Macaca mulatta: one gene and its partner. The protein of the gene in region 1 interacts with the protein of each later gene in a pairwise test. Links are inferred from orthologs where the notes say so. Each region holds a gene or a part of one and is shown on either strand. Other genes may lie near its edges.

Evidence for each region.
Region 2: the proteins of PLSCR1 (region 1) and SLC35A2 interact in a two-hybrid assay, tested with the Homo sapiens proteins (2 studies listed by BioGRID and IntAct). The two-hybrid records come from large-scale screens. The link is inferred for Macaca mulatta from reciprocal best matches to the Homo sapiens genes PLSCR1 and SLC35A2.

Annotation. Positions count from the first base shown.
Region 1 is NC_133407.1:49,496,842-49,506,144, forward strand, and holds the end of PLSCR1 (phospholipid scramblase 1), read right to left. Parts: intron 5,907-9,303; coding exon 5,745-5,906; intron 4,843-5,744; coding exon 4,786-4,842; 3' UTR 4,393-4,785; downstream 1-4,392. UniProt on the Homo sapiens protein: Catalyzes calcium-induced ATP-independent rapid bidirectional and non-specific movement of phospholipids (lipid scrambling or lipid flip-flop) between the inner and outer leaflet of the plasma membrane resulting in collapse of the phospholipid asymmetry which leads to phosphatidylserine externalization on the cell surface.
Region 2 is NC_133426.1:48,981,850-48,992,321, reverse strand, and holds the start of SLC35A2 (UDP-galactose translocator), read left to right. Parts: upstream 1-4,072; 5' UTR 4,073-4,395; coding exon 4,396-4,486; coding exon of another isoform or gene 4,487-4,494; intron 4,495-5,734; coding exon of another isoform or gene 5,735-5,819; intron 5,820-6,055; coding exon 6,056-6,238; intron 6,239-10,472. Other genes in the region: PIM2 (serine/threonine-protein kinase pim-2), read left to right, coding at 288-660, 1,113-1,289, 1,388-1,551. UniProt on the Homo sapiens protein: Transports uridine diphosphate galactose (UDP-galactose) from the cytosol into the Golgi apparatus, functioning as an antiporter that exchanges UDP-galactose for UMP.

The DNA.
Region 1 (9,303 bases):
TAATTACACTGTCCCTGTCTAAGGTGTTTTGGTATAGAAGCCCGAGCGAACCGGGTAGTAAACTAAGATCTAATTAACTCTGTAAAGTCAATATAACTGAGAATTTCTCTAAGATATTTCCAGGTGGTTGCAGTCTATTGGCAATGTCTGATTAAAGCTGAAATTTTACCTAGCAACTAACTCCTTTGCTGAAATAAATAGGTCAATGTTTGTTCCCTATCACTGCCAGACAGAATAACCTCAATGTGTTAATGATGGAAAACTCCCAGAATCCACAGGTAGAAACAAATTGTCCTTAGTAGGCAAGCAGATCAATTTTGCAAATCTAGTCAGAATTCAATGTGGGTAAATTTATAATCTGCATTTTGGCATAAATCTGATATTTCCTACCGTATAAACATTAACAGTAGATTAACGTTAACTTGAATGCTTGATGTGTGTGTCTATGTGTCGGGGGTTGTTAAGTGCAGAGCTCTGTGACCAGCTGTACTTATTGCTTATCATTCTATGGCCCTCTCAGTTTGTAAATCATGAGTTCAAACCCTGTATTGTCAGTTGTTTCATCTGGTTTCTGGGACCCAGATTATTGTTCCTCTCTCTCTCTTTTATTTTCTTGAGAAGCAGTTTCACTCTTGTCACCTAGGCTGGAGTGCAATGGCGTGATCTCGGCTCATTGCAACCTCTGCCTCCCAGGTTCAACCAATTCTCCTGCCTCATCCTCCCCAGTAGCTGGGATTACAGGCGCCCGCCACCATTCCCAGCTCATTTTTGTATTTTTAATAGAGACGGGGTTTCACCATTTTGGCCAGGCTGGTCTTGAACTCCTGACCTCTGACCTCAGGTGATCCACCTGTCTTGGCCTCCCAGAGTGCTGGGTTACAGGAAAGAGTCACTGAGCCCAGCTTCTGTCCCTCTCTTAAAATGGCTTGCCACATTTTGACACTATAAGGCTAAGAAAAAAAAAAAAAAAGGACTCTAACGCAGAAGCCAGAGACTGTGTTCTCCCCATGCCTTAATTTCCTTTAATCTACACTTCTGTGAGATGAACATCATTCCCTAGCTTGGCATCTTGCATAGACATCTTTTTTTTTTTTTTTTTTTTGAGGAGATAGTATTCTTCCTAGGGTTTAAATGAATTTTATTTGCTATTCAAATCATAACACAGAAATTTAATTTAGCCCAAATCTTCCTCATTGGCTTTGAGACACTTCCCGGTGTTTCGAAACCCATTGATTTTTATCAACACATAGCCCTTTTCATTTTTTACACTGGTTCTACTGCAGGAACCTGCTCAGGTCTCTGAACCTGCATTAAAATACTGAATCTTCACACTGACCTTATAAGGTAGATAACATAATCAATTGACAACGATACTATTGACTATTGAGGGAAATGAAGGCATAAGGAGGAGCACAGAGCTTGAAGAGACAGTGCCAGGTGCAGGAACGTGGTCCTAGGAAACTCAGGCAGTGTATGCTGGGCTAGGGACAGGAAAGGAGAGAGGCAGCATATGGAGGGAAACCCTGTACACTTATCTGGCACTTTAAGCACTCGGAGCACTTCATTGTGCCCAGAGACATTTTAAATCATTCCATTCTTACTGATGGCAGGGATTCTCTACAGAGTCTTTTCTAGTTACCCTAAAGTTACAGTCGCTCTTTTAGCCCAAATGCAGTTAAAGCTTTAGTACTTATGCCTAGAGTAGCTAGCTAACTTGATGCTGGGAGCCCAGACACCGATTTTCTGGCAACTTAATTGCCTGTGGCTGGTGCTTTTTGTTTTTTCCTCTCCCAGCCTTGTCTCTGCTTTCACTTACACGCCCCTCACTCTTCAACCCTCCCCCAAGAGGTACATAGGAGAGGTACTGACATCCCTTAAATCTTGTCTTCCTCCTCCCTCCCCATTCTCCCCATTCCTCACTGACCACCTACCTAGAACTTTCTTCCCAAGACCAAAAATACAGCTCCATGCTTATCCATTGCAGCTTTTCCTCCTCAACATTTTCCCTAGTCAGGCACACGCAGTGACTTTCCATTCACTGTTATAACTCACATAGCAGAAATAAAAAAATATGCAACATTTCCTCAAATCTCATTAAGATTACAGTTAAACTTTGAAAAACAATTCCTGGTATTTTCTTAATTATATATCGATTTTTTCATGTGTGATTATTTTTCTCTATGTAATTATGCAATGATAAGATATTTGTCTAGTATAGGTTCTGCAGAAAATATGTGGGGTTTTGCTCAGATCTTCTTTGCAGAGTTGAAGAAAAAAAATGTTTAGATCAGTTTAGCTTTATTTTACTTAACCAAAGATTCAGAATCCTGTTTAGAGAGAGACAAATAATGAAAGTAAGATGTAGCTGTCACAGAGATAATGTCAGTACTCTAAGCCTTATTTTGGGTCAGTTTTGACACATTAGGGCCAGTTTGGAAATCCTATTTCCACTCTCTTCTGTAACTGGCGTAACAATGCCATTGGGATTCAGCTATGCAAGTACCTCCACTTTTCTTGACATGCTATCTCTACCAAGCACACGCTCTGAGTGAGTTCCATGGGTACACTTCATCACTGGAATGTGGCATCTGGCGATTTGTTTAGGCTTGTGGGAAATCATCTAGACTTGGCTTTTCTTGAAGATCTCCTGCATACTAATGTTCTCACCACTTGCCATTTGGAGCTATTGAGGTCTAGGGCACTAACACCATGAGGAGAGCTGCTGTTATAAGAATTGTGCTGACTATGAAAGAGAGACTCTTCCACATGCCCTTATTGCTTAAGCACACTTTTCCATTGCGTGAGGAATATTGTGGGTTGTTCATGTCATCTTTCAACTCAATCTTCATTACAAAAGAGATTACTAAATTCTTACCAGCTTCTGACAGGTGGAAAACCTAGTTTCCAACTCTGGTACAGATTTTACTACAAAGTGTCATGTACTTGCTCCTTTTTAAAGGAGATTTGAAAGGAAAAGGCAGTTAAACATGATGGGGACAGGAGGCAGAGAAATTCTAGGCAGAAAAGGGTGAGTCCCCAGTGAAAACTCTACCTCCAAGCTGAAATGCCTGAAACCCTGGCCCAAAGTGAGAATTTATATCCATGTTTTTCTCCTTGAATGTTGCCTTTTCCTAAACTGCCCATGGCTCTCCCTGCCCGCAATCCTGTGCCTACAAAGACCCCAGACTCAGTCAGAGAGGAGTGGAGACTATGGCTGGACATTGGAGAGAAGCAGCTTGACTTCAGAGGGATAGCTTGACAGTGTAACTTCAGAGAAGAATCCAGCTGGAGATGGCTAGACTTCAGGGGAAGATCACCTACCCCACTGTCCCCTTTTCAGCTCCCTTTTCCACTGAGAGTCACTTTCCTCAGCAATAAAATCCCCGCATTTACCATCCTTCAGTTGTTTTTGTGACCACATTTTTCCTGGACGCCGGACAAGAGCCTGGGAGCCATGAGTGCAGATATAAAAGGCACTAACACTCGCCCTTTGCCCTTGCTGGTGGAGGGCAGCTGTCCCACGTGACAAGACAAAGGGCTCACGGAGCTGTTAACACTTAAGCTGTCCACAGACTGCAGAGGTAAAAGAGCACCGTAACACACCTTCTGGGGCTTCAGGAATCGCAGGCAACCACACCTGGTTGCTACCACAGGGCGTGCACGGAGTTTGCTCTTGCCCGTGCCAAAGCGGTCAGCCAGTTCCAGTGCTTGTGCACTCCAGTTCCTGCCTTGTTTGCCTGCGCACTCCCTCCCAGGAGGAGTTGAGAGTGGCAGGCTGAGTAAACAAGACACCCCTTCTCGAGTCCCAGGAAGGGGTCAGGGAAATATCCTGCTTCAAATGTACCATCATTTAACTGAATGAGTGTTCAAAATACCATCTGAACACATTTTGTTTAAAAACAAAAGTCAAATATACAAAAAAATCAAGTTTTTATTTCAAATATTTGAATCTAATAGATCATTATTTAGGTTTATTTTCTGTGAATATATATATATAATATTATATTTAATTAACATCTGAAAATTACCATTTTCTAGAAAGGATAGAGTATAAAAGCTATACATTTCATATATAAATATTAACTTTCAAAATTTATAATAGTACGAGTTTTAGAGTGAAGGAGTGTTTAAAATGTGCCTTTCTTTGGACAAGAATCATTTTGTTCTTTATTTTGTTCTTTATTTAACAATAATTTAAAAACTGGTAATTTAATATCTTGTGAACATGAATGTATCATTTATGGTACAGCTTAGCTTCTAGGAGAAGTTAAGTGTAGCATGATTTCTTGAAGATTAAAAAAATACATTTAACTTTTTAAAGATAATATACATATTGAATATTATTTGAACATAACAGTAAAGAAAATTATCTTTGAACTTTTTTGAATATATGGCATTTGCAAAATAACATTAGCTATTATGCATGAAATAAATTGTAACTAGATTTAAAATATAATTTATATAAAAATTAATAAGGCCTTAGTTAATATTCGGTAGTAAAATGGACAGTGGATCAGAGATCATAATTCAAAGCAGTTTTTTATAGGAAGTTTCATTAATAAATGCAAAAACTCAGATGCCCTTTTTCTCAAATTCACAATGAGTATTAAAAAATGTACAAAAACCTTTATAAATCAGTTATACAGAAGATAAACTATAATTTGAAAAGCAAAAGTATACAACCAGAGCTACAGGCATTACAGCTTAATTCACACAGGTATGAGTTTAGATAGTCTCAATCAATTTACGGACTTCAGATTTCCTGAGGAGACTTTCACTAATCCACTACCACACTCCTGATTTTTGTTCCTGGCTGCCAGTGCTTTCAAAAAACATGAAATCCTAGATAAAAACAAAAATATACAAATGAATTTTCAGCAACAAAACAGAGATCAATGATCAGATGCAGAAATACTAAGGGATCTAGTGAAACACAGTAACATATCTGTTAAAAAAATTAAATGTAATAAACACAGAAAAGCTCTATAGTTATATAAGTTCTACCTTTAGCTTTCCATTTTAATAATAAATTTTATAATTCTATTCATGTATTGATACCTGTATGAATTTAATTAATCTTCCGGTCATTTTCTCTAAATGTGACTTTTTCTCTATCCCCATAATTCTCATCTGTGGCTGCATATTGGAACCACCTGGAGCACTATATGAACTTCGAAGTTTGACTCAGTTGAACTGAGGTATGGACTAGTACTTACAGTTTTTAAAGGTCCCTAAGTGATTCTAATGTGAAGACAATTTCAGAATCACTGGTATATCCGATTATCTCCTGTAATTCGGTAGTTAGGTCTACACACTTGAGTGAATGCACACTCTTACTGTAGTTCATACTCCCATATTAGATGGTTTAATTTAATTACTATGAGTCATGGTCAAGTTTCCTTGTTTCACTAAATTTTTTCCACATATGCCCGCTTTCAATTTCTTCAAAGCATGTAGGAGATGGCTGATTTAAGGGGAGACTAAAATCTCTCCTCAGTACGCCTCCTTAGTCCCTCTCTTGCCATGTGAATATTCATAGACTCTTCAGACAGAAACTAGTCACCCCAGAGTGTCAGGATCAAATAGAATTTCAGAGCTAGGATTAAATGGGAATCCTGATTTAAAAATCTATAAATTTTAAAAAGTCATTTTGAATTATACACTTTACTGAATCATTTCAGAATGATTAGTAGAAAGCATATAGAGAAAACATCTATAATCAAGATTAATAAGAACAGACTTACAATGAGGAAACAGGCACCAATCATTACAGCTTTCATTTTAACATCAAGGTCTAAAGGGAACTGGATTCCAAAGTTATCAGCATCTGTAAATGCCTCTCTCAAAATTCCAGTCCAGTGCTTGGAAATTTTGCCAACCACACACTGTTCATCAAGAGATTTAATCTAAATTGAAAAAAAAGTATTACATATTTTTAGGAAACTTATAGCAAAAGTACTTTCAAATTTGAAGATGAAACAAATATGGTATTAAAATTATGTACCATATGTAACCATGAACATGTAACCCTCATTGGATAACTAGAGGCTCCGGTATCTATTTATAGATATATGAAAAAAACTGTTTCATTATATAGATAAATTATATGAAAGTAGTTTTTCTGAAATATTTAACAATTTCTATTTCATATTAATAGACATTAATAAATTATTTGAATTGACCCAAAATAAAATTTAGGCAAAAAAAGATATAAATATGAAATGTTTATGTGATGACATTTCTAGAAGCCATCAGGAAGGTAATGAACAAAATTCCTATTAGACTTCTGCTTTAGGAGAAGCACAGTTTACACAGACCGAAAGGTTAAATATGATGAAAAGGCTTATTACCACCCACTGTGAGTTACCAAACATGAAATGCTAAGCGCCTAGAAAAGATTAGCAGTTTGGAGTAAAGGCAAATACCAGTAAGTAACTTGATGAAATGCCTCACGACAAGGGCTGAAGTAACAGTGGGTAACTAGTGGGGTGTGAATAATAAAAGACGAAGAGTGTATAAACAAATGAGCTCCAAAGTAGCAATTTTCTAATTTCACAATTCTGCCTGAGGAAAGCCCAGGGCCATCATATAGGGTTGAATGGACTGTGCTCAGACTAAGGCAACTCCTCTAGGAGGGCAGGTGGGGACTGAATGTAGCTGAAATTCACAAAACTAGGCGCATCTATAGTTGTGTTTAACAGAGGAGTGTCCTTTTCAGCTAAATATATGTGGGGAATCTAAAAACACTTGACTCACTTTATTTTAGTACAAGTGGAGAGTTTGTAAAATACCAGAAATAAACATCTAATATGAAACTGATAGCATAATACTGTTCATCAAATATTCATTTCATTCCCTCTCCTTCTGTATGGCCAGTATACTTCCTGTTCCTTCATAATTAGGCTTGGCCATGTTACTTGTTTGAACAATGGATGTTAGCAGATATGACATGAGTAGTGTCCTTAAACTGGGCTAAGTGCTTTGGCCTGGCTTATGATCTTCAGTGACAAGCCACTAGAAAAGCATGACTCAGGTAGCTGCTGCTGCTACAGCCACAGAACAAACATACCTGGAGCAGACTGAGGTTAACATGCAGCCCAAATCACTACTTAAATACATCCACTGAAATACAGTTGACCTGCACACCCCTAAGCATGAGCATAAACGCTTGTTGCAAGCGGCTGAGTTTTAGGGATTATGTGTAATGAAATACTACTGTGGAAAAATAAATGAATACAAATCCTTTCTTGTACGTGTTAGTATTTTTCTGCTAATAGCTGTCATTGAAGCATTTGAAGCTAGTAATGAAAACTCTGGTTTATTTTTTAATTCTGAAATTTAAAAAAAATGAAAAATGCAGCTGACAACTTACTAGCCACTGTAAACCTAACACTATACAAAGATATTAACATTTGCCCTTTTTGATTACTACAGCAAGAAATTTAAAGAAGTAGAGAATACATTTTTTTATGGCAAGGATAAGAAATGCAAATAATGATCTTCAACCAATAAATTATCAGGACTAGATAATTTTTAGCTAAATTGTAGACATTTTGGAATAGAAAATTACTGTAATAAAATTTCAACATTTGGAAATAATAAATTGGTATTGTATAATGTTAAACTTTTAAATCCATAAACGTAATACTAATTGGTAAATCATTCTAAAAAGAAAACCATAGATTCATCTCACAATGCAAATATAAATGCAAAATACTGAAATATAACGACAGTATATAGGATCTAGTTATGTAGCAAAGAAATATAAGTGTATCGTGAGTATATTAATAGTTGCTGGTAAGCTATTTTATTTACTTGCTAATTATTTATTTATTTACTGTTATTACACCCAATTTTCATGTAAAAAAACTAAAGCAAAGAGAAGTGAAAGAATTTGTTGAAAGTCACACAGGTAAGTGTTATGAAGATGGGTTTCAAACCTGGGTATCTGGCTCCAGTGTCTATACTCTTGACCATTATGATTGCCTGCTTTTTAAAAACATATTTATTGAATACTAATGAAAATCTAGTTGAGAGGGCAGGAAAAAAAATCTGTGGGCTGTAGTTGACCATATAGAATTTATTACCACTCAGGATCAATTTCTGTATTTTGAGATTCCTGAAACACAACAGTGGCAGGAATTCAAGCTCATAGACAGAAGTGACTTGGTATGTCAGTTTCGTGTGGCCATATTTTTCCCCTACCAAGAGTCCTTGAAGGAGACAGACTCTCTTATTATCTATATTGGATAAAAGGTCTACTAGGCTCTCTCTTACTCACCATTGAGATAACCTTCTTAGAGATTCAATTACTATCTGTTTGCTGAAAACTCTCCATTCTTTTCCTCTACATAACTAAAATCCAACATGACTGTAATTCAAGTCATTAACTTCCCATATATATTTTATATAATCAACTAGAGCCCATTGATTACATTTTGCTGGTCCCTGACCTAGATGTGTATTAGTATTTGATACCTTACTTTTTAAAAAGCAGACTATCATAATGGTCAAGAGGACACAAATCAAGTGTTTTTCCTCCAAGATTCTTAACTTGGCCAATGTAATATCAGAATAATAACACATCAAGTTTATCTCCAAAATTTTTTTCATCCTCAGTTGACATCAAATCCATGAATTAGTTCCACATAGTACACCGATAAAATGCCTCTTGAGTTATTCTCTGTTTTAGAATGACTCCTGCCCCTGCTGTGGAACAGGATTTTATCTCTTTTATTACTTCAAGTTTCCATGCCCAGTGGCACCCTGGTGGATTTCCTGTTCCTTAGTGGTCCCTCATACCAATAATTTCTGCTTTGAGGTGTCACAGTTTCCATTGTCAACCCTACGGAAAATTCTTCAAGTGACTATTTCTCAATTCTTTCCATGAGAGTACCTTGATATCATCATTCTGGATAAATAGAAGAAAAGTTAATTTATTACATGGAATGGATGCTTCAAGGTATCCATCAAGGAAGGCTGCTACATGAAACATAAATTCTTTAGTATCAAATATAAGGATTACACAATGCTTTTCCAGTGTTTACATTTATTTACTAAAAGTAAAATATATGCCAGCCAAACTTCTGTCAATATTGTTCCTTGAATGAGAAATTACTTTTCACTTCTCTGGATGTAGGATAGAGATTCCATCCCTTACATGAAGAACTGCTATTATGCATACCCCTATATAAAATTTTATACATGCATATTATGCACACATATACATACACACACTATACAATCCCTTTATAAGAGCCTTTTTAAAGTTTCTACATCACCTCCTCCTTAGAACTGCAAATC
Region 2 (10,472 bases), on another chromosome or scaffold:
ATTACAGGGATGAGCCTCTGTGCCCGGCCAAACTTTCGTTTATTCAAATGTTTATTGATCTACTACATGCAAGACTTGTGCAGGCTCTTTGCTGGTTTCACCCTCTCAATCACTGTGTGAGTTTGTGTCTTTAGGGAAACTGAGGCCCAGGAAGGGAAGTGAGTTGCTCAACAACACACTGTCAGGAGAAGGGACCCTAATTTGAGCTTAGGTAAAAAGCCTCAGAGCTGTTGCCCTGACATCTGTCTTTTTTCTCTCTCTGCTTCCCACCCTACCTGTTCCCCCAGTCAGACTCAGTCACATGCCCACTCGAAGTGGCACTGCTATGGAAAGTGGGTGCAGGCGGTGGGCACCCTGGCGTGATCCGCCTGCTTGACTGGTTTGAGACACAAGAGGGCTTCATGCTGGTCCTCGAGCGGCCTTTGCCTGCCCAGGATCTCTTTGACTATATCACAGAGAAGGGCCCGCTGGGTGAAGGCCCAAGCCGCTGCTTCTTTGGTCAAGTAGTGGCAGCCATCCAGCATTGCCATGCCCGTGGAGTTGTCCATCGTGACATCAAGGATGAGAACATCCTGATAGACCTACGCCGTGGCTGTGCCAAACTCATTGATTTTGGTTCTGGTGCCCTGCTCCATGATGAACCCTACACTGACTTTGATGGTAAGGCTTCTCTAAATCTCCCTGGAGGGATTGTTTTTACTTGATGGACTCGTGACCTTTGGCCTCCAGTGGTGGGGTATCCTGTAATCCTTGACCCATACTGCATCTGTATAAGATGATCGATTGCTAATACTGGGGATTCTCAGCCTTGCCCTCTGATAAAGTCCATCTTTTAACAGTGCGCTAACCTTATTCTGGGCTCCTATTCTGGTGAGGGTATCCTGTTACTATCCTCAGTATCCTTTCTCTGGTAAAGGGATCCTGTTACTTCTCAATGCTTTTATTCTGTTGAGGGGACTCTGCTATTTATTTTAGCTGCTCTTTATCTAGTGAGGGGACTCTGCTTTTATCTTGAGTGCTCTTAATTGTGGTGAGGCCATCCTTCCTGGGGAGTTTGGGGTTGGAGAAGGGCATCATGAGAGTGAGTGGTCTAACCCCTGGCTTGTGTGCAGGGACAAGGGTGTACAGTCCCCCAGAGTGGATCTCTCGACACCAGTACCATGCACTCCCAGCCACTGTCTGGTCACTGGGTATCCTCCTCTATGACATGGTGTGTGGGGACATTCCCTTCGAGAGGGACCAGGAGATTCTGGAAGCTGAGCTCCACTTCCCTGCTCATGTCTCCCCAGGTGAGGCCTCACTGACCCCAGCCCAGAAGACTCCATCCCTCTCAGGGATCAGTACCCCCTACTGACTGCTAATCTTCCCTCTGCTTCTTGGCCCACAGACTGCTGTGCCCTAATCCGCCGGTGCCTGGCCCCCAAACCTTCTTCCCGACCCTCACTGGAAGAGATCCTGCTAGACCCCTGGATGCAAACACCAGCCGAGGATGCACCCCTCAACCCCCCCAAAGGAGGCCCCGCCCCTTTGGCCTGGTCCTTGCTACCCTAAGCCTGGCCTGGTCTGGCCCCCAGTGGTCGGAAGAGCCATCCCATGGCCATGTCACAGGGATAGACGGACATTTGTTGACTTGGTTTTACAGGTCATTACCGGTTATTAAAGTCCAGTATTACTAAGGTAAGGGATTGAGGATCAGGGGTTAGAAGACATAAACCAAGTCTGCCCAGTTCCCTTCCCAATCCTACAAAGGAGCCTTCCTCCCAGAACCTGTGGTCCCTGATTCTGGAGGGGGAAGTTCTTGCTTCTCATTTTGCTAAGGAAGTTTATTTCAGTGAAGTTGTTCCCATTCTGAGCCCCAGGACTCTTATTCTGATGACGTGTCACCCCCACATTGGCACCTCCTACTACCACCACACAAACTTAGTTCATATGCTCTTACTTGGGCAAGGGTGCTTTCCTTCCAATACCCCAATTGCTTTTATTTTAGTAAAGGGACCCTTTCCCCTAGCCTAGGGTCCCATATTGGGTCAAGCTGCTTACCTGCCTCAGCCCAGGAGTCCTTATTCTGGGGGAGGTAATGCCCTGCTGTTACCCAAGGCTTTTTTCTTTTTCCTTTTTTTTTTTTTTTTTTTTTTTTTTGGGTGAGGGGACCCTACTCTTATCCCAAGTGCTCTTATTCTGGTGAGAAGAACCTTACTTCCATAATTTGGGAAGGAATGGAAGATGGACACCACCGGACACCACCAGACACTAGGATGGGATGGATGGTTTTTTGGGGGATGGGCTAGGGGAAATGAGGCTTGCTGTTTGTTCTCCTGGGGCGCCCCCCTCCAACTTTTGCAGATTCTTGCAACCTCCTCCTGAGCCGGGATTGTCCAGTTGCTAAAATGTAAATAATCACGTATTGTGGGGAGGGGAGTTCCAAGTGTGACCTCCTCTCTTCTCCCCCTGCCTGGATTATTTAAAAAGCCATGTGTGGAAACCCACTATTTAATAAAAGTAATAGAATCAGAAGCGGCTGGCCATTTGTAGGTGTGAGGCTTTTATGGAGCATCTACTTTGCACTGAGATAGACTGTCCCTCTGCTTTGTCCTCAGGAAGCCACAGTCTTATGTTGCCATCCTAAAGACCTTTAAGGGTTCTTGAAACTGCACCACAAAAAAAACAAAAAACAAAAAATCTTGATTCCCCCTGCCCCTGATCTTAAGCAGCGCCCAGTATGTGTAGAAGGGCTGTCTGTTGGAGATACTGTGCATGAAGGTGGAAGGTGTTTAGGGTACATCCCCAATCAAGATGGCCATCTCAGAAGCAGATAAAATACCTTCCCTGGCACCCCAGGGGAAGGAGGAAGCCCTTTTCCCTGTTGGAGAAGAGCCCTATCAGGGTACTGATGAGGGCGGGGCTGGAGTTGGGCACTGACTGGAATCTGTCCAGGGTGTAGTCACCTGTTTTGCTTTTTTTTTTTTTTTTTTTTTTTTGAGACAAAAGTCTTGCTCCGTCTCCCAGGCTGGTGTGCAGTGGTGCGATCTCGGCTCACTGCAACCTCTGCCTCCTGGGTTCACACCATTCTCCTGCCCCAGCCTCTCGAGTAGCTGGGACTACAGGCGTCCGCCACCACGCCCGGCTAATTTTTTGCATTTTAGTAGAAACGGGGTTTCACCGTGTTCACCAGGATGGTCTCGATTTCCTGACCTTGTGATCCGCCCGCCTCGGCCTCCCAAAGTGCTGGGATTACAGGCGTGAGCCACCGCATCCACCCTGTTTTGCTCTTAATCTTTAGCCTCTCCCCCATCTTTACCCTTACATACCCATCCCTCTAATTTTTCCTTCAACACTTGACTTACCTGGCCTGCCCTATTCCATGTTGGTTTCACATGCTCCGACCTCGGCTGTCACCTCTCTTGCCCTGCTTATTTGTCTCGGTTCAGTGCAACCTCCGCCTCCCGGGTTCAAGCGGTTCTCCTGTCTCAGCCTCCCGAGTAGCTGGGTACAGGTGCATACCACTACATGCGGCTAATTTTTTTTTTTTTTTTTTTTTTTTTAAGTAGAAACGGGGTTTTGCCATTTTGCCCAGGCTGGAACTCCTGAGCTCAGGTGATCGGCCCGGCTCAGCCTCCCAAAGTGCTGGGATTACAGGCGTGAGCCACCGCCCCTGGCCCGGACTCTTGCCCTGCTTCCAAATGCTAGCTAACTGTGAGCCTTTCGCCTGTCCCCTTTATTTGCCATCCTCATTGGTGACTCACTTGTCTTCTCTGCGTCAACTTTCCTTTTCATTTTCACTTGTTTATCCTCACCTGCTCTGCTTTTATCTGCTATTACATGCCTGACTCGCACCTGATGCTTCAGCCAGTACGCCCTCACCCGACCCCACAGGTCAAAGTTTCTTGGTCCCCAGATTCCCCTGTGCTTTCCAGAGGGTGGGGCCTCGCTGGAAGACGGGAAAGCGGAACTTCAGTCCAACCAGGAAGCACCTGGGAGTTTCTGATTCGGAAGGGGCGGTGCCTTGTGGAGAAGCTGCCAATAAAAAGCCGAGATGAAAGAGGGATGGCTTAGCCAATGAGACTAGGAGACGGGATCGGGGGGTGATCTGGAAAACGCGATCAGTGAAGCGGACGAACAGCAGGACAAGGCGGGTCTAGTGACAGGAATGGGCCGATGAAGCTCTGTAGGGGCGGTGGGTAGGCCGATCGGGCCGTGTCCCCGGCATCCAGATCCGACGGAATTTGGAAATCCCGGGGCTACTCTTACGTTGAGCTTTTAGGAGCGAAGGAGAAAAGCGACCACCCTGACGATCCCGGCTCTCGACCCACCTTCACTCAGGCGGCCTGGAAGCGGAAGTGACGAACACGGAAGTGGTCTGCTGTTACCGAGGGGACGGGCCGGGCAAATGCCAACATGGCAGCGGTTGGGGCTGGTGGTTCCACCGCGGCGGCCGGGCCAGGGGCGCTTTCCGCGGGTGCATTAGAGCCGGGGACTGCTAGTGCGGGTGAGACAGTCTGTGTCCGAGCAGTCGCATGGGAGGCAGAGGTCGGGATCGCTGGGTGTCGGGAATGTTCCTCACTAAAGTGAGAGGGAGCATCCCGTGTGGACCGACGTGTGTGTGTGTGTCTGTGTGTGTCTGTGTGTGCACATTGTGAGTGTGTTGGGGGCGGGGAAGAAAACATTCTGAGAGTGCTTGTGGGATCCTTCCGCATATGGACCATTATGAGTGTGGAGGGTAATTCTTTTTGGGAAGGCTAAGGGCACCGAAACCATTCTGAATATGTGGGGTCCTTCCTTGTGGAAGAGACCATTCTGCGGGCGTGGGAGTTCTTCACTGAAGAAGTGGGAGACTATTCTGAGGGTGGTGCTTCCTTCCTTATAAAAGGACAGAGAGACTATTGTGAGTTAGGGTGGGGCGAGTCCTTCTTTATGTGACTAGAGAGGGTCCATTTTGAGGATGATGGTGTCCTTCATTATGTGCGGAGGAAACCGTTCTGGGGGCCCCCTTCCTAATGGAGGTAGAGTTCATTGTACGTTCGGGTGGGAGGGCTCATCGTTATATGGTGGAAAAAGAACGTTCTGAGGGTGCCAGGTCCTTCCGTATAGCAGAGAGAGCCGATTGTGATTGTGGGTAGAGCAAAGATTGTGATTGTGGGTAGAGCATTAGCTAGAGGGTCGGTGCGCGGTGGTGGGAGGACGGACCATGTGGAGTGCAGGGAAATATTTCCTCATCTGGTTGAGGGAGCCAGACCTTTCTTGGTGGGATAACCATTCCTGTTACAGGATTCAGTCCCTGGGAGCATGGGGGAATCATTTCTTGTATTTAGTAGACTATTCTGGGTCGGGAGGAACCAGTTGTCACAGGAGGGAGGGGTTGGAGAGACCATTCTGGGTATGAGGAGGATCATTCCATATGGGATGTAGGCCATTCTGAGAGTGAGGGAATCGAATCATTTCTTAGATGGGAGAAAGACCTTTCCTTAGGGGGTGAACATACCTCATACAGTGGCCTCATTCCCTGCATTGATGTATTATTCTTTACATGAGACAGTCCCTCGTTAAATAGAAGCATCATTTCATATACATTCTCAGTTTGCTCATCCGTAAATGGGAATCCTCGCAGTTCTTTTGGAGATGACAATGATATGAGTCTATTGAGGTAATCCATAGAAATCCCTTAACCCAGTGATATGCATACAGTAAACACTCAGTAAACGTGGAGAACATAGTTGTCGGTATTCTGTCTGGGGAGGATTTGCTTCTCACTTGGGCGGGAGCCGAGGCGCGTGGCCAGAGCTTGCCTCAGCCATTACCTGAAACCTCGGTAAGGATTCCAGGTATGGACTGGACAGGGTGGGGCCCATTTCTCCCTTCTGGCTCTTCCTGCTTGTGGCTGAGGCAGTAAGGCGGTAGGAGTCAGACCCTCATTGGGTGAAGAAGGCAGGCTGAGGGAACAAGTAGCGGTGGCTAGGAGGGTCCTGGGTGAGAAAGGAGAGGGGGTGGGTGGTGGTGTGGCTATGCCCTAGCGGCTTCTGACCCCCTCCTTCCCCCTTGCCCCTTCCGTTCCCCACAGCTCACAGGCGCCTGAAGTACATATCCCTAGCTGTGCTGGTGGTCCAGAATGCCTCCCTCATCCTCAGCATCCGCTACGCCCGCACGTTGCCAGGGGACCGCTTCTTTGCCACCACTGCTGTGGTCATGGCGGAAGTGCTCAAAGGTCTCACCTGCCTGCTGCTGCTCTTCGCACAGAAGAGGGGTACGAGCCAGGGAGGGGGCTGCACCGGGGTCGGTGCGTGGGACTCCACATGTATGTGTGTGTGTTCACACAGACGGTTTGCTTCAAGAGTGTCTCCAAATCTCAACCTGCCTGGGGCGCCCCTCCAGCTTTGTGTAGCTGCATCTTACACTTTTCTAGTCCTAACAGCCAGGGAGCTGACCTGTGTGAACTGTAGGAGTGGGATTGTCTATGCTTATAAAGTAGCAGGGGTCTCTCACATGTGATTTAGTCATCTTTAGCTTTATATTATGGAGAATTCCGAATACATGCAAAATCAGAGAGATTAATCAAATAGTAACATATCCATGTACCCATCCCCCAGAGTTAGCAATTAGCAACTCATGGCCGCTTTAAACAATATCAGTGATTGTTCACTCACTGCCAATCTATATGTCTACCTACATCCTTATCCCCTTATTATTATTTTTTGTTTTGTTTTGTTTTGTTTTGTTTTGAGACGGAGTCTCGCTCAGTCGCCCAGGCTGGAGTGCAGTGGAACGATCTCGGCTCACTGCAGGCTCCGCCTCCTGGGTTCACGCCATTCTCCTGCCTCAGCCTCCCCGGTAGCTGGGACTACAGGCGCCTGCCACTATGCCTGGCAAATTTTTTGTATTTTTAGTAGAGACGGGGTTTCACCGTGTTGGTCAGACGGGTTTCACCATGTTGATCAGGCTGGTCTCGAACTCCTGACGTTGTGATCCACCCACCTCAGCCTCCCAAAGTGCTGGGATTACAGGCGTGAGCCCTATATTATTTTTAAGTAAATCCCACACAAAGTAATATGGTATGGAAGTAAATTCCCCCATATTATCTTGAATAAATGTTTTGGTGCATTGTTTTTAAAAAAATAAAATAAATACAATACTGGCCTGGCGTGGTGGCTCACGCCTGTAATCCCAGCACTTTGGAAGGCTGAGGCGGGTGGATCATTTGAGGTCAAGAATTTGAGACCAGCCTGGCCAACATGGTGAGACCCTGCCTCTACTAAAAATACAAAAATTAGCTGGAAGTGGTGGTGGGTACTTGTAATCCCTGCTACTTGGGAGGCTGAGGCACAAGAATAGCTTGAACCTGGGAAATGGAGGTTGTGGTGAGCAGAGATCATGTCACTGCACTCCAGCCTGGGCAACAGAGCAAGACTCTGTCTAAGAATCATACATGAAAAAATTAATAATAAAAAAATAGGCCAGGCATGGTGGCTCACGCCTGTAATCCCAGCACTTTGGGAGGCTGAAGTGGGTGGATCACTTGAGGTTGCGAGTTCGAGACCAGCCTGGCCAACATGGCGAAACCCCGTCTCTACTAAAAATACAAAATTTAGCTGGGCATGGTGGTGCCTGCTTGTAATCCTAGCTACTTGGGAGACTGAGGCAGGAGAATCACTTGAACACGGGCAGTGGAGGTTGCAGTAAGCTAAGATCGCACGACTGCACTCCAGCTTGGGCAACAGAGCAAGACTCCGCCTCAAAAAAATAATTCAATAAATAACATGGACATAGAGAGTGTAATAATAGGTCTTGGGGACATGGAAAGGTGGGAGGCGAGTCAAGAGAGAGAAACTGCCTAATGGGTACAGTACTGTTTGGGTGATGAGCACACTAAAAATGCAGACTTCATCAGTGTGCAATATATCCATGTAACAAAACTGCAGTTGTACCCCCAATCTTTTTTTTTTTTTTGAGACAGGGTCTTACTCTGTCATCCATGCTGGAGTGCAGTGGTGTGATCTCGGCTCACTGCAGCCTTGAGCTCCTGGGTTCAAGCAATCTTCCCACTTCATCCTCCTGAGTAGATGGCACCGCAGGCACGTGCCACCATGCCTGGCTAATTTTTGTACTTTCTGGAGAGACGGGGTTTTGCCATGTTGCCCAGGCTTACATCTTTGTTTGATTTTTTTTTTTTTTTTTTTTTCTTTTGAGACAGTCTCACTCTGTCGCCCAGGCTGGAGTGCAGTGGTGCGATCTCAACTCACAGCAACCTCCTGGGTTCAAGCAATTGTCCTGCCTCAGCCTCCTGAGTAGCTGGGATTATAGGCGCCTGCCATGACGCCTGGCTAATTTTTGTATTTTTAATAGAGACAGGTTTTTGCCATGTTGACCAGGCGGGTCTTGAACTCCTGACCTCAGATGATCCGCCCTCCTCGGCTGCCCAAAGTGCTGGGATTACAGGCATGAGCCACTGTACCCGGCCCTTTTAAAAATTTAAATAAAAAATAATCACATATCCAGTTAATGTTCAAATTTGTAATTTATTAAATGTCATAAAACTTTTAAAAAATTCATTTGTAAAGGCCGGGCACGGTGGCTCACGCCTGTAATCCCAGCACTTTGGGAGGCCAAGGTGGGCAGATCACGAGGTCAGGAGATTGAGACCATCCTGATTAACATGGTGAAACCCCGTCTCTACTAAAAATACAAAAAAAATTAGCCAGGCGTGGTGGCAGGCGCCTGTAGTCCCTAACTACTTGGGAGGCTGAGGCAGGAGAATGGTGTGAGCCCAGGAGGCAGAGCTTGAAGTGAGCCGAGATTGCCACTGCACTCCAGCCTGGGAGACTGAGCGAGACTCCATTTCCAAAAAAAAAAAAAAAAAAAAAAAAATTTCATTTGTATATAGTCAGTGTTTTGTAATTGTTTTGTATCTTCTTTTTTTGAGAGAGAGTCTCACTTTGTTGCCCAGGCTGAAGTGCAGTGGGACGATCTCGGCTCACTTTGACCTCCGCCTCCTGGATTCAAGCGACTCTCCTGCCTGAGCCTCTCGAGCAGTTGGGATTACAGGCTTATGTCGCCACGCCCGGCTAATTTTTGTAATTTTAGTAGAGATGGGGTTTCACCATGTTGGTCAGGCTGGTCTCGAACTCCTGACCTCATGATCTGCCCACCTCGGTCTCCCAAAGTGCTGGGATTACAGGCGTGAGCCGCCAGGCTGGCCTTGTTTGGTATTTTATATTCTAAATCTGTTAATCTCTAGGGGTTTTTTGGTCTTTGCAATTAATTTGTTGGAGAAAACAGGTCATTTGTCTTGCAGGCTTTGGGTAGTCTAGATTTTGCTGCCTCCCTGAGGCAAATATTCTCAAAAATTTAACAAATATTCTGTCTTCTTTATCTCTTGTAAATTGGGAGTTGGGTTTATCTACTAATTTCAACATCTCCCTGAAGGTCTTCTACTTTGAAGTGTTGCCCAATTGTTTCTCTAAAGAGGTCTTGCATAAGTAAAGGGATGGAGATGAATTATGCACCTTTGCCCTTTGTTTACACTGAAGAGAACATTCTCACCCACTTGTTAACTCCAGGTTAACAAGAGACCTGCTCTTACCTTTATTAACTCTGTGAACTATGCAGGTGTGCACACTGCCTCAGGCCGTGGGGGTGGATGGGTTAGCAATGCAGAGGAGTGGCTTGTCCTCATTACTGATGGGAGATGGAAATAACAGATAGCCACAGACTTAATCACAGGCCTTCATCTCTTAGCCACATTTCAGCACCCCTCCCTCCCCCGCCCGGAATTTTTTCCCCTGAATTAGAGTTTGGAGACCAGTAGTGGACAGGGTTTGGTGAATGAGCATCAGTAGGAGTTCCAGGGACAACTTTGTTCAGTGTTTGAAGAAGTTTTGCCTGTGGAGTGACACCCAGCTGTGACTTAAAAGATGAACTGCCAGCTGGGCGTGGTGGCTCATGTCTGTAATCCCAGCACTTTGGGAGGCCGAGAGGCAGGTGGATCACGAGGTCTGGAGTTTGAGACCAGCCTGGCCAAGATGGTGAAACCCCATCTCTACTAAAAATACAAAAATTAGCCGGGCATGGTGGCAGGTGCCTGTAATCCCAGCTACTTGGGAGGCTGAGGCAGGAGAATTGCTTGAACCCGGGAGGCGGAGGTTGCAGTGAGCCAAGATCATGCCACTGCACTCCAGCCTGGACGACAGAGCAAGACTCCATACCCACCCCCCGCCCCCGCCCCGCCAAAAAAAAGATGAACTGCCAAAAAGTGGGGCGAGCTTTGCAAAGGCCTTGTTACATAGGAAATGATTCTCATGTTTTTTGTTTGTTTGTTTTGAAACGGAGTTTTGCCCTTATTGCCCATGCTGGAGTGCATATGGCATGATCTCGGCTCACTGCAACCTCCACCTCCCGGGTTCAAAAGATTATCTCTGCCTCAGCCTCCCGAGTAGCTGGGATTATAGGCGTCTACCACCACACCCAGCTAATTTTTGTATTTT